2 linked regions of the Struthio camelus genome follow. The protein of the gene in region 2 interacts with the protein of the main gene of each other region in a pairwise test. Links are inferred from orthologs where the notes say so. Each region holds a gene or a part of one and is shown on either strand. Other genes may lie near its edges.

Evidence for each region.
Region 1: the proteins of AIRIM (region 2) and ZBED1 interact in binary tests that used the Homo sapiens proteins (3 or more experiments, as listed by UniProt). The two-hybrid records come from large-scale screens. The link is inferred for Struthio camelus from reciprocal best matches to the Homo sapiens genes AIRIM and ZBED1.

What each region holds. Positions count from the first base shown.
Region 1 is NC_090942.1:146,894,713-146,901,635, reverse strand, and holds the start of ZBED1 (E3 SUMO-protein ligase ZBED1), read right to left. Parts: upstream 3,022-6,923; 5' UTR 2,856-3,021; coding exon of another isoform or gene 2,741-2,855; intron 2,233-2,740; exon of another isoform or gene 2,028-2,232; intron 1-2,027.
Region 2 is NC_090964.1:10,953,070-10,959,806, forward strand, and holds AIRIM (AFG2-interacting ribosome maturation factor), read right to left. Parts: upstream 1,989-6,737; coding exon 1,744-1,988; intron 1,662-1,743; coding exon 1,482-1,661; intron 1,397-1,481; coding exon 1,278-1,396; intron 950-1,277; coding exon 909-949; 3' UTR 524-908; downstream 1-523. Other genes in the region: CDCA8 (borealin), read left to right, coding at 2,213-2,294, 3,513-3,641, 3,919-3,959, 4,496-4,571, 4,903-5,042, 5,677-5,756, 6,082-6,183. UniProt on the Homo sapiens protein: Part of the 55LCC heterohexameric ATPase complex which is chromatin-associated and promotes replisome proteostasis to maintain replication fork progression and genome stability.

The DNA of each region.
Region 1 (6,923 bases), on a different chromosome or scaffold from region 2:
ATGTGTTAAAGCACATATACCAAGAGCATACAACTTAGTCAGAGTTTGGGGAAAGAAAAGGAGCTAATTTGTTTTACTTTTGAAGATCCTGAACACCGTTCTGGTAGATGTTAGAAAGTAAGCTTTTCCTGGAAGATGAACAGCATACCTCAGGACAGAAGGGCTACGTTCACACTCAATCTCCGTATCGCCTTTATCCATCAGCCTACAGTTCAAGCATGAGATGTGTCTCTATTTTATAACTTCCACAACGGAGCTGCACCTATGCTGCATTATGACTGGGAACTCGGACAATCTAATTGAGGCCAAGGAGACTGGATCAGAGACATGGATCAGTTCACTACCCAGTCCCATTTCTTCCTTTCAAGTTTTCTCTCATGGAAGATACTATGACAGTTATCATCACAATAAAATGTGTATAATTGTGAGAGGACATCCATGCAAAAAGATATACAGAATCTTTAACGTATGCATTTCAAAGCTTTCTAGATTACCATCTTGAAAAGTAACTTGTTTTTTTTTTTTCACAATAAGTTTACTGATCCAAGGTTTAATTAAGCATATTCTAATCAACCCTTTCACTTTTTGAAATACTTTTTGTCACAATATAGCTGTTATTTTGAAATTATTATATGAAAACTAGGCTCATCTAGATAAAAATGCTCTTGCTGACAAGCTGACTTGCTTTTTTTAAGGAATGGCTAGACAAACCAAGTTAAAGCAAGGCAGCAGGTAAAGGTAACTGCCAAGAAGCAATTGTGCACAACTATCCCAGGAGGAAATTACTTGTCCTTGGAAGAAACCAGCCTGAGTTAGAACTGAAAGAAAACTTTCCAGATCTGTCAAATCTATGCTGGTCCTACTTGGCCCAGCTGACATTTCCCAGGTTGTACGTTCACTATGCCTAATCTGACATTTCTATATTTAACATTTTTTAAAATAATATTTAAGAACGTAATATAACAAAATACTTGGGTCACACTTCTGTCATGCTATTTCTCTTCAGTTCTAAAAAAGATTTGGAAAGTGTTACACACCCTAGGCACAATACCCAGTTTTACTCTGCCAAGAAACACTAATGCTAGAAAAATGCTCAGATGACTTCAAATTGTACACACATCTGCCTTTTTTGTTGTTAGGATTCTTTTGTTTGTTTTTGCTTTTTTATCATTACATTTTGAGAATGAGAAAGCAGAATCCAAACCTGCTGCAGAATTATTAGGAATGAATAAACTTAACTGTACCACTATCCAGTGGGGCCACATGTGGTGAAATGCGCAGATACGCATTTACCCTGTAGCTTACTTGTTCTTTCTGCTCCTCAGTGCTTCAGATAGTCTCTAAAACAATTATTTCTGCAACCTAAGTTACACATGGATGCCTCGTCTGCTTACTGAAATGCTATGCTCTCTCCAATTTTTTTACTGTTACTCTTGTTTTAACTACCAACAGTTCAACAAAGGCACACTTGCAGCTAGGCAGAGAAAGTCAGAGGCACCAACTTGTATGTAGTTTTTTGCTGAGTCCTGATGATACTGTACATGTCCGTACGGACTTGTAGTTTGCTGTTAAGCTTATAAAATTACAAACGTTTTAAAAGCTTAAGAGACTGATGTCAGGAAAGAGGAAATTCAGAGTTTTGTTTTCTGGAAAACTCAAAGTTTCCGTCATAAAAGTTATATGGGAAAAACTGAGAGTTATTATCAGATAAGCTGTGGACCAAAATCAGAAAGATGCAAAAACGTTAACTTCTCGCACAAACAACTCCCCTGAAGTCCCTCGTACAAACGTCGATAGCTTGCTAGCGCAGAGGCCGGCAACTCATGACAGCAGCGTTACAGCTTGGCCGCTGAGAGCACACAGGCTCCTTCCCAGGGCGGCGGCTGCGGGGGCCGGGCCGGGCGGCGGCAGGACGCGGGCTCGGCGGCGGGGGCGCCGCCAGGACCCCCCGGGGCCGGCGGGCGGGAGGCGGGCGCGGCGAGCCCCCGCGCACCGGCGCTGACAGCCCGTCTGCCCCGAGCACCTACCTGAGCCCGGGAACACTACTTGGCTCCGCGTCTCTAAGCCGGGGGTCTGAGGCACAGCGGTCAAGAAAATAAAACAATAACAATAAAAAAAGAAAGAGAGAGAGAAAGGGAAGCGCACAAGAAAGGCACCCCCGCCCCCCGCGGAGCGGAGCCCTCGCCGCCTCCCGAGGCCGCACTCAGGCCGGCGGCGCAGCCAGGGCCGTCCGGGGCCCGGCTCCCCGCCCCGCCCCGCCCCGCGCCCGGGGCGGCCGCGGCCCCGGGGGCCGGACGGAGCAGCCGCGGCGGCGGGGCCCGGCCCGGCCCGGCCCGGCTCGGCTTGGCCCGGCCCGGCCCGGCCGCCGGGCGGGAGGCGGGGCCCGGGGCGGCGGGGGCGGGGAGGGGGAGGGGGCGCACCGCCAGCCTCAGCGGCCGCCCCGGCCCCCTGCCCCGAGGCGGCGCGGCCCGCGGGGAGGAGGAGCCCGGCGGGGGGTGACTCGGCGGCCTGCCGGCGGCGGCGTCCCCAGGCCTGGGGACCGGGGGCCCGGCTGCGGCCAAGGTCGCGGCCGGGCGGCGGCCCCCACAGGCCAGGTCGCGGGCCGGCAGGGCTCCGCCGCCCTCCGCGGGTGGCGGAGCGGCAGCGCCAAACTTCTGCCGCCCCGGCCAGGGCGGCGGCAGCCCCCGGCGCCCCGCCCCGCCCCCCGCCGTGCCCGGGCTGCGCCGGGCGCGATGCTCACCTGGGGCCGGGGGGCAGCGCGGGCGGAGGCGGCGGCGCAGCTGGTGCAGGATGACGCCGAGGCCGATGCAGTAAACCCTGAGCAAGGGCACCGCTCGCGCAGACAATAGCGACATGGCCGCCTCCCGCCCCTGGCGGCGCGGGGAGAGGCGAGGCGAGGCGAGGCGGGCAAGGCGCCCCGGCGGGCGAGCGAGCGAGCGAGCGGGTTGTGTGTGTGTGCGCGCGCGGGTGTGCGTGTGCTGTGCGTGCGCGGCCGCGGCCGGGGCTCTCCGCCGCCTGCGGGCGGGGCGGGCGGGGGCGGGGGCGCGGCGCAGCGCAGCCCCCGCCCGGCGGAAGGGAAGCGCCGCCGCTGTCACCGCCGCGCCGCGGCTCCCGCCCTTCTGGGCATGTGCGGGGGGGAAGGGCCGCGCCGCGCCGCGCCGGCGGCGGAGAAGCTGCTGCCCCCGCGGGTCCGGTGGCGGCGGCCGGCCCGGCTGCCCCGGGCGGCAGGGCCCGTGCTGCGCTGCGCCGCGCTTCGGCTGCCTGACGGAGCTGCGGTGGGGCAGCCGGCGCAGTCCTTCCGGGAGCCGGTCGGCGAGCCGGGGCGGCCTCTCGTTTGCGGAGCCGGAGCGGCAGCGGGTCGCCCGGGCCGAGGCGAGGCGCCCCGCCGGGGAGCGGGCGCGGCAGCCGCGGTGAGGGGCGGCGGGGCCGCCGCGCCGGTGGCCGCCAGCTGGGCGGTCGCCACGTGAACAGGCAGAAGGCCCTGGCGGGCTCGGTGACCGCGCGCCGCCGTCGGGGCGACTCGGGTTTGCTTGGCTGAGGCGCGGCCGAGCCGCTCTTGCTTAACCCCGTAGGCAGCGCGTATTCCAGGCAAAGCTCGCGTCGCCTTGGACGTCAGAAAACTTAACTTCTCCCGTTGTTGCAGCTTTGGCCGTTGCAGAAAAGTTCTGAGTATTTTGAATGTAGGTTCGCTGCAATGTAGCCTTAAGAAGTCTTGCTGCATTCGGAGCCTGAATTTTATACCAGCCTCATGAACACATAACTTTACAGCAGTTGCGTATCAAGTGCTTCATCTTGAAACTTTCATGTTTTCAATTTTAAACCCTCAGTCTAATTTTTGAGATGCCAAGCACTTGAGTCAGAACAGCAAATCCTACTTACCAACCCTTTTGGTAGACTGGGTTTAGGCTACTGGAAATGCACTGCTTAACATTGTTTTTCACTCACAGAGCTGGTATTGTTCCATAAATACAGATGAGTAACAACATCGATACAAAGCAAGAAGTACGAACAATAGTTTCACAAGAGTATTACCTACACATTCGATTTGATGTAAGTAACACTTTGTCTTTGGGGATGACATGGGCAACCGTACAAAGCTCTAGAAATGCATTTGAAGTGCAATCTCTTTTGAAAAATAAACTTACCGTCTAGGAGAGATTTAATTAACATAGTTTTTCATTGTCAAGTCAGATTGTTCAGCAGAATTGGCTGTCTAATTTCAGTCATATGCATAAAATAAAAGCTTATTGTGTAGTTCTCTAGGACAAAAATACAGAGTTAATATTGTGCATCTCTGATGAATTTCTTCCCTTTTTTCTATTAACGCATGAAATTAGACATACATAAGTAATAAACAGAATGTTGTAAATCTGCTTGCATCAATGAAGGATTCATTCTAAATGTATATTGTTCTCAACCAAGAATGAAGTGGTAAAATGAGCATCACAAAAAGACATGAAAGAGGAAACACTGACATTTAGTTAAGGTGTATTATTTTCTCAACTTATCTCGGGAAAAATCAAATCTTGATTCCTTTATGCTGCTTTATAGCCTTTTCTCAGAATTATAATGTTAATGAAAGCCCTTTGCAACATTAAACTGTGCTACTTGCCTGCAGTGTATTTACATGATCTGAGTATAAACAGGAAAGTTCTCAGTCAGGTTTTCTAGTATAGTGAAATCAATCGATGCATATTCAAGCTATGAAAATAAATATGTTTCTGTCCTTTTCAGACAGAAATAAAGAATTAGACTAAGTGGGGAACAACTGTTTGGTTAATACTATGATTTTATTGGTCCCACTATTTTTTCTGAAGGTGTTAAAACTAATTTTCAGTCCTCCGTGGTTCATGAGTAGAGAGCTTTAGAGAAAGAATGAGAAAAAAATTTTTCAACACTATAGCTCAGTCAGTTTTTCTCCAGGCTGGTGGGAGGCAAAATGGAGAAGGAAGGAAAATATAAAGAAACATTTAGTGCTTAATGCTTTTCAAAAATTTTCTTATAATACATTCTACTTTTAATTGATATTTTCTTTTCCTTGATTTTTTTTAATAGTTTTCATCTTTTATTGACATATTGTTTTTTTTTTCTCCGTATAATCATTAGCTGCAAAGTTCTGAGTAGTTGGAATGGAATCTTGTCCCTCTACTTTAGATACCTCCCTGAGACACTACCTCAAAGAAATTTTGTATGTTTGACCCCTGGAAGGGAGGAAAGGTGTAATCTAGTTACCTTGACTTTCCTATACAGTTGGTGGATAGAAAGAGGCACTTCTGAAGACCTGCAGAAGATGACTGCTTCCTCTGAGGTACTTAGGGCGCTTCCTTCTTTCCACTGACTGTGAAGTGATCTCTTGCCGCCAGTGGGCAAAGCCAGCTTGTGGTTAGAACACAGATATCCTCTTGGAAAGTCATTGGAAATGCTAGTAATGCTCCATCTCCACATGCTCCATCTCCACATGCGCCAACCCATCTGCAGGACTGGCACTAATGAAGCAGTATGTGATCATAGTGTTTCCACCCACCTTTTGCATAAAGATGCATTAAGCTGTAAGAAAGGAAGTGGATGATGTTGTTGCTAGGCTCTAATTAAACCCTTAGCTCAAACTTCCCAGCAGCATGGCATAATCAACCACTGTAAGGTCTCATGGACGACAGCTGCTGTAGTTAAGGTCCTGTGCAGCCAGGAATGAGAGGCTATGTAAAAGCAGACAGGGTGGGACCCAAGGTTAGCCTAGCAAGTCAAATGCTCTCTTACACAGGGTGGATGGTGAGGGGAGTGAAATGGAGTCCTAGCCTATTTTGAGTGTTTATCCTGTGACGACTTCCTATGCAACGCACCTCTCTCAGGAATATGAGTTTGGTCCCTTAGTTTTGCTCCCTTCGAGATGAGACCAAGTCAAGCAACTTGTTGCATTCACCACACAGCGGTTCAAATTCAGTAGGAGAGGTCGCTAATGCTTTTTGCCTGAATCATGGCATAATAGTTAGGGCAGTTGCTTAAGACGTAAATGGTGTTAGATCAATCCCTCTCAAACAGTAAATTTAGAATTCTACTTGCTTGCTTAATTTGATATATGCTTTAAGTATTTGGCACGTATGCCACACCAGAAGACATAATTCTGACTGCTGCTAATTTTTCAGGCTTTGCCAAGGGATTTAAAAGCCTGTCTTCCTAAAGCTGGATTGTAATAGAACTTTAGGCAAGAGACAAGTGCCTGTCTTCCCAAAACAGGATCTCCTTAACATGTGTAGGTGAATAAAGTTAAATGCCTGAGGAGCTTTCAGGTTCAGTGGGGAGGTGCCCACAAGATTAGGCGGTGCTGGGAAATAGGATCGCTGTCTGGGATTCATGTAGGTTTTTGAGCACCTGCAAACAATTTTGACAGACTGCATACTCTTAATCTTTTTTCCCCTATATGCAAAAAACAATCGCTTTAGATACCCCCAAATTAAGTATCATCATGCCTGATATTCTAATAGGCTGCAGGCTCCTGCACTGGAGCATAGCAGAATCATATAAAGCACTACAGTTAGCTCTTCAGCACCCTCATTAGTAGCTTGGGAAGGAGAAAGAAACTTTGTTGCCAAGGGGAGAGCTGTCTGAAGCTACTAAAGAGAAAAGCCCTGAAACCCAGACCAGAATCTTCTACTGTGGGAAATTATCAAATGAAATCTGTTTTTTCTTTAGTAACAGTGGGGAAGATAGTAAATGGGTGTAAGAGCTACCTTCTGTATAACAGCATCAGGGTGATGGCATTTGTTCATGAAGACAGGGAAGTTCTGACCTTTCTCAGCCTTTTTCAGATATTTCTCTTTTTGAGAAAATAATGTCATTGGGAAAGGTGACCCTTGTCAGGTAGCTATGCTGATAAGAAAGTGAAGCACAGGAGCAGAGTAAACAGAAGAAATCTGAGTTTTGTA
Region 2 (6,737 bases):
GCCCCCGTGAGGAAGAAGAAAGCCTTATGTCCATCTCTTTACACAAGGATGTTTGATAAATTGTGGATTAATTTGACAAGGGTGCAGAACCTAACTCGTGTTCAACTACAAAGAGTTTATGTCCTTCAGTCTTTATATGAAAGAAATGGATTGTTAAGCTCATCTAGGATCATCATCGAAACATCATACAGCTCTGAAGGCCACGTAGTAACAAAACTTCCCTTAACAATGCTACAAAGTACACTCTTACTCTTGAAAACTGCACTTGCTAGACCTCACGTGTCTAAGCTTTATCCGTGTACCTCCACGAACACATTTTCAGACCAAATTAGCTTTCCTCTTCACTGCACAGATGACTGAGGGAAGACGTGGGATTGTATGGAAGATGGGACGAAAGAAAATACGTTGCTCAGAGGCACAAGGCACAAAGAGTTTCCAAGCCCTGATTCGGCATCTTTTATTTATTTGTAAGGACAGTACTTAAAAATCTCTCTTACGTGATATCAAAGTGCAGGACACTATGTTTTATTTATGTATTTATTTATTTGCAGGACCCTTCTAAATACAATCGGTACCATTTCTTTGCAACTTAATGAGTCTCAACGTTTCTTTCGGTATGCAAAATATCCAGGGTACACAAGAGAACGGCCAGCTTCTGCAGGTGGAGATGACAACTCACTTCCTGCTGTCTTCTTTGGATACTAAGTCCATTTCCATTTGAAAATGGAACAGCCCAAGCATTTCCTAGGCCACGTATCAACTTAGCTTCCAAAAGACATGAGAAACGCTTACTCAGCTCATCCTCCTCTTCATGGCTATATCACAAGTCTTATACCAGATACTTATAGGAGATGATCAACATCAGTGTCTCCTGTCCTCCCTCAGGAGCCTGGTTAGCAGCACAGCTTTCACTGATTGTCAAGAAAAAGAGAAATCTTAAGAAGTGTATCTAAAAAAAAAAAAGAAATAATTAGTTTAGTACATTTTATTTGTACTGTACGTCCACAGAAAATTAACTTATTTCTAAAAGCTATAACAAAGAATCTTAAGCGACGTTATCGTGGCAGACCAAGTAAAAGAAAGCACCAAGCTCTCTGCTTTGCTATGCACAATGATGCCACTTCATTTACCCCATAAATCACAGGCAAGATCTCGGAGCACATTGCAAAGAGAAAGCGCACGTGCAGCGAGCTCACCCACTGCAGCGGGACGTGCAGCGAGGGCACCTGCCGGGCCCCACCGCCAGCACGGAGCCGCACCAAGACGCGGGGGACTACCTTGAACGACGTCTGGCTTGTAGCGCTCCAGGATCCTCTCCCAGGACTGCGGCAGGGCCTCCATGTCCGCCAGGCTGTCACAGCTGATGCGCAGGAGCAGCAGCTTGCTCTCCAGATACCTTCCTGCCCGATAAGGACCAACACCGAGGGGGGACGGCACCGGGGGAGGGGGGCACCGGAGGGCGCGACACGGGGGAAGGATACAGGTGCCGGTAGTAGCGCTCCACGTCCTGCAGCCCCTCCAGCACCTCGGCCAGCGAGGGGCAGCGCGGCCCGCGCCGCAGGGCGGCCGCCAAGCCCAGCTCCGCCGCCCGCTCCTCGTAGAGCCGCAGCACGGCGGCCACGGCGGCCGCCACGGCGTCCCGCACGGCGCGCAGCTCCGCCCTGCGCGGGACGCGGCGGCTCGGCTCGGCTCGGCCCGACCCGGCCCCCGCCGCCCCCCCCGCCGCCGCCGCCGCCGCCTCACCGCCGCCCGCCGAGCTGCTCCAGCGCCGCCTCGGCCGCGCCGCGCTGCTTCCGCCACAGCCGCGCCCGCAGCCCGCCGAAGGCGCCCAGCGGCGAGCCGCGCCAGGCCAGCCGCCGCGCCGCGCCCGCCTGCGCCGCCAGCCCGCCCAGCGAGCCCAGCAGCGGCGCCCAGGCGGCCAGCGCCGCCCGCCAGGCCGCCTCCTGCCGCGCCACGGCCGCCGCGCAGGCCCGCAGCGCCGCCGCCATCGCCATCGTCACCGCCGCCGCCGCCATGCCGCCCGCCGCCTCAGCCCTGCGTCAGCGCCGCGTCAGCGCGCCGCCGCCGTGCTGCGTCAGCGCGCCGCCCGCGCCGCGCCCCGATTGGCCGCGCCCGCGGCGGCGGTTGGGTTTAAACGCGCCTTGGGCGGGCTCCGCTAGGCCGCACCGACACCGGCTCCGCCACCGACCAGGCTCGACCCGGCCCGGCCGCCATGGCCCCCGCGCGGAGGAGGGCGGGCGCCACCGCGCGCAGCAGGAAGCTCGCGGCTTTCCTCAAGGACTTCGACCGCGAGGGTGGGGGGGGGCCCGCGGGTTGGGGGGGGGGGCGCGGCCGGCCCTGGGAGAAGGGGGCCTGGGGGGGCGGCGGGCCCTGAGGGGAGTCTAGGGGGAGGGGGCCTGGGGGGCGCGGCGGGCCCTGGGAGAAGGGGGTTTGGAGGGGGGCGGCCTGGGGGGGTGGTGGGCCTTGGGGGGGGTTCAGGGGGAGGGGGCCTGGAAGAAGGGCGCCTGGGGGGGCGCTGCGGAGGGTGGGGGGGGTCTCGGGGAAGGGGGCCCGGGCCGGCTCCGCGGAGGGTGGCGGTGGGGGGGGGGTCTCGGGGAAGGGGGCCCGGGCCGGCTCCGCGGAGGGTGGCGGTGGGGGGGGGGGTCTCGGGGAAGGGGGCCCGGGCCGGCTCCGCGGAGGGTGGCGGTGGGGGGGGGGTCTCGGGGAAGGGGGCCCGGGCCGGCTCCGCGGAGGGTGGCGGTGGGGGGGGGGGTCTCGGGGAAGGGGGCCCGGGCCGGCTCCGCGGAGGGTGGCGGTGGGGGGGGGGGTCTCGGGGAAGGGGGCCCGGGCCGGCTCCGCGGAGGGTGGCGGTGGGGGGGGGGGTCTCGGGGAAGGGGGCCCGGGCCGGCTCCGCGGAGGGTGGCGGTGGGGGGGGGGGTCTCGGGGAAGGGGGCCCGGGCCGGCTCCGCGGAGGGTGGCGGTGGGGGGGGGGGTCTCGGGGAAGGGGGCCCGGGCCGGCTCCGCGGAGGGTGGCGGTGGGGGGGGGGGTCTCGGGGAAGGGGGCCCGGGCCGGCTCCGCGGAGGGGGGCGGTGGGGGGGGGTCTCGGGGAAGGGGGCCCGGGCCGGCTCCGCGGAGGGTGGCGGTGGGGGGGGGGGTCTCGGGGAAGGGGGCCCGGGCCGGCTCCGCGGAGGGTGGCGGTGGGGGGGGGGGTCTCGGGGAAGGGGGCCCGGGCCGGCTCCGCGGAGGGGGGCGGTGGGGGGGGGTCTCGGGGAAGGGGGCCCGGGCCGGCTCCGCGGAGGGTGGCGGTGGGGGGGGGGGTCTCGGGGAAGGGGGCCCGGGCCGGCTCCGCGGAGGGTGGCGGTGGGGGGGGGGGTCTCGGGGAAGGGGGCCCGGGCCGGCTCCGCGGAGGGTGGCGGTGGGGGGGGGGGTCTCGGGGAAGGGGGCCCGGGCCGGCTCCGCGGAGGGCCGCAGTGGTGGTGGGGGGCGGCCCGGGGGTGGCGGCGGCGGCGTGAGGCCGTGCGCGTCCCCGCAGTTCAGAGCCGGGCCGAGCGGCTGCGGACGAACGGGGAGCGCCTGGTCAAGGAGGTGGAGGACCTGTACAACATCGAGATCCTCCGGCTGCCGCTGGCCGTGCGCGAGATGAACTGGCTCGACTACTTCGGTACGGGGGGGGGCGCCGGGTGCGGGGCTTCCCTTAGGCTAGAGGGAGGGGGAAGGAAAAACCGTGCCAGAGAAAACTGAATCCCACGGTGCCTTAAGTCTCGTGAGTGAAAAGCCTGCGAGTACTCTTGGAAGCACTCCTCTCTTCTTGCCTTAGGCTGCTCACTTGCTGCCAAGGAAACTTGTTTGTGCTGTGTTTTTCCACCATTCTGGTGAAGTATTAAAGCATTGTATAAGCTGACCTGGATGTATATTGATTTTTAATGTTTTCCTTGTAGCTAAAGGAGGAAGCAAAAAGGTCTTAGAAGAGGCAGCAACGGTAGGTGTCTAACATAAATACTATGTTTTCCTGAGGACATTTTATGCCCCTGTAGGAGAGAAGGGTTTCTTGAATTTGTACAAAGGCTACAATAACACAGACTGCATAAACACTTTCACAGCTACTGTGTTAAGACCTAAAGGTAATAAACATCTATTGTATTTATTGTAGGCTTTGTCTGACCATACTGTTCTTTGCCTAGGGTGCGCTGCTAGCTTTCCTGATCTGCTTAACTTCACTCTTAGATCCCTGAGAGAATATGCACTTTTCTGTAAAGCATCTTAAAACCAAGCTGTAGGGAAGAGGCAGAAGGATACTTGTAGCTGCCAAATGAGACTCCTTAGTACTGAATGTTATGCACTCCTGTTAAGTTGCTGTCACTTCTAGAATAACATGAAAGCTCCCAGTTTGAGCACAACAGAAGAATATGGATGTATTTCTGTTCTAGAATAATTAAGCATTTGCTCCACGACTTTGGCTCATCAGTTATGCTGTACTGATGATTCTAATGTTATCATTACTGTTTTTAATTGTAGGTAGACTTGGAAATAACAGAAATAAACAAGTTAACAGCGGAAGTTATCCAGACTCCTTTAAAAATCATCAAGAAAGGTCAGTTTGCTTTTAAGGATTGTGATGAGTTCAATAAGATGAAAGCTTACAATGGTCTGTGTACTGTAAATGATAATTCAACTCCTATTTACAGCCTTCAACATGTTTAAACACAATAAAATGATTCTTCCTTTATTCCTGTTACCAGAAGTAATTTTACTTAATTTTTTGAACAAAACTTTAAATAATAGTGTTCTATCAGCTGCTCTTATTGGGATTTGGATTTCAGGAGCAAATTGTTGCCGAAAATATTTATCATTGTTTATTTTCTGACCCAACTGCTAGCTCATGACTTATTGCTTTCAGCTTAGATAACACTTTCTCTTTTTAGCTGAAAAATCTAAACAGGGTATTGAAGCTATTGAAGAAGAAGCAGAGTCTCCTTTACACCCTCAAGCAAAGAAGACAAAACATGATAACCAATCTCTTGCAGAACTAGAAGCTGAAAATATTAATCCGAGAACTGGGAAGGTAAATAGCTACTGCTATGATGACTCTGTTCTCAAGATGTAAACTATTTCACTGAGATGATGCCTGTGATAATGGTGTTCACGGCACTTCAAAGAGGACTTGAAAATAGCTAGCCACTGTCTCCTGGAATGTCTAGTGATGGGGATCTTGGTTTTTCATTTGCTTTTGGAGTGCAGTTACTTAGCTTTGTGCAAATGCTTGATCCCTGCTTCTATTGCTTCTGTAGATCTGCAGGGTCTCACTCTTCATCCCTTTCCTCTGAGCTAATGTATTTATGGTTGTATACAGAGTGTGATACTCACTATACTAGAGACTTTTCTAACCGTAGTGAAAATTCTTTACCAGTGCCAGTTCCTGCTGCTTTTGCTGTGGGCAATAATGAATATATCGACAGTACTGGGTCAGATTAAGTTCATGTAGTCCAGTGTCCTCCTAATCTACAGCAGAGCTAGGGGGGGAACATATGAGTGATATTAAAATGTGAAAGACTACAGAAGTCTGTATGGCATTTGGTTCAGGCTTTTTGTGCCTTAAAAAGGAAGCTATTAAGTCAAACTCTTTGTGTGGAAGCATTTATTCATGTTGGGCTCAGCTGTCTGGTGATAATATAACTGATTTGAGTCATGTGTTTCAGGTGAAGGCATCCACCAAAAAAGTGCCTGTGACCAAGAGCAGAAGAGCTCCTTCAACAAGAGTGAAACGCATAAGTAAAAGGTATCAGGAGATAGCCTTTTCACTGGCTTTCAGAAAAGGAGAGTAAGTGTGTTGCTCATAAAACTCAAGTGGAATGGAGTATGTTTCTACAGCATGGCATGCCTATGCATCAGCCTACTAAATCAATCAGTGATTTGACAGTGAATGAAAGACAGGCAACTTCCTCTCCTCTGAGGATCAGCTTATCCCTAGCTTTGAGGTTCACCCTTAATCAGTAAGAACCTCTGACTTTTTTCTGTGGTGGCCCCTTCATTTGAGGCTATGATAAGACAGGGCTCGGACATATGTTAAAATGATTCTTCAGAGCAGGATTTTTTTTCTTTAGCAGATCAAGCAGAAACAACTTTATCACTCCAGCTACTGGTAGAATTGTTGATGTCTGCACTCGGGGAGGTACTTCCATTGTCACACCCAAGTTTGATTCCAGGTTTGTGTTCTATTTCTCTGTTAATCTTTAATACAGAGGAGGTCTTAACTGTTTGCTTTATGTATCTGTCATCTATTTGCAAAATGGTCCTTGATGACTCTTTGAATCTGTAACGAAAGACCTTGGGTTTAAGCGTGCCTTGATCAGTGTGCCTGACTAGCTTTTTTGAAACTTTTTAATAGAGCATGTGTAGTGTTATCTGAAAGTCCCATGTTAGAATGGGATCATGGAAGCAGAGATAAGATTTTGACTGGTACCCATAAGGAGTTTTCTGTGGAGTCAGGATTACACATTGAGACTTCATAACTCCATTTTTTTCCTCCATGTGAATTACTTTTTTGCAGAGTTTGTGTGTGTGAAATTTTAATTCCTTTCCTACTTGTTCAGTGAACATTCTCTGAATCTGTTCAGGCCTCATAGGCAGTCAGGCTTTTCTACTGTTTTTTTAAGCTATATTATAGATGGATTCTCTTGTGTGTGTGTATATACATATATACATGTACATACACACCCACATATCTGTGTGTGCCTCATATATTAAAAAAAAGAGAGAA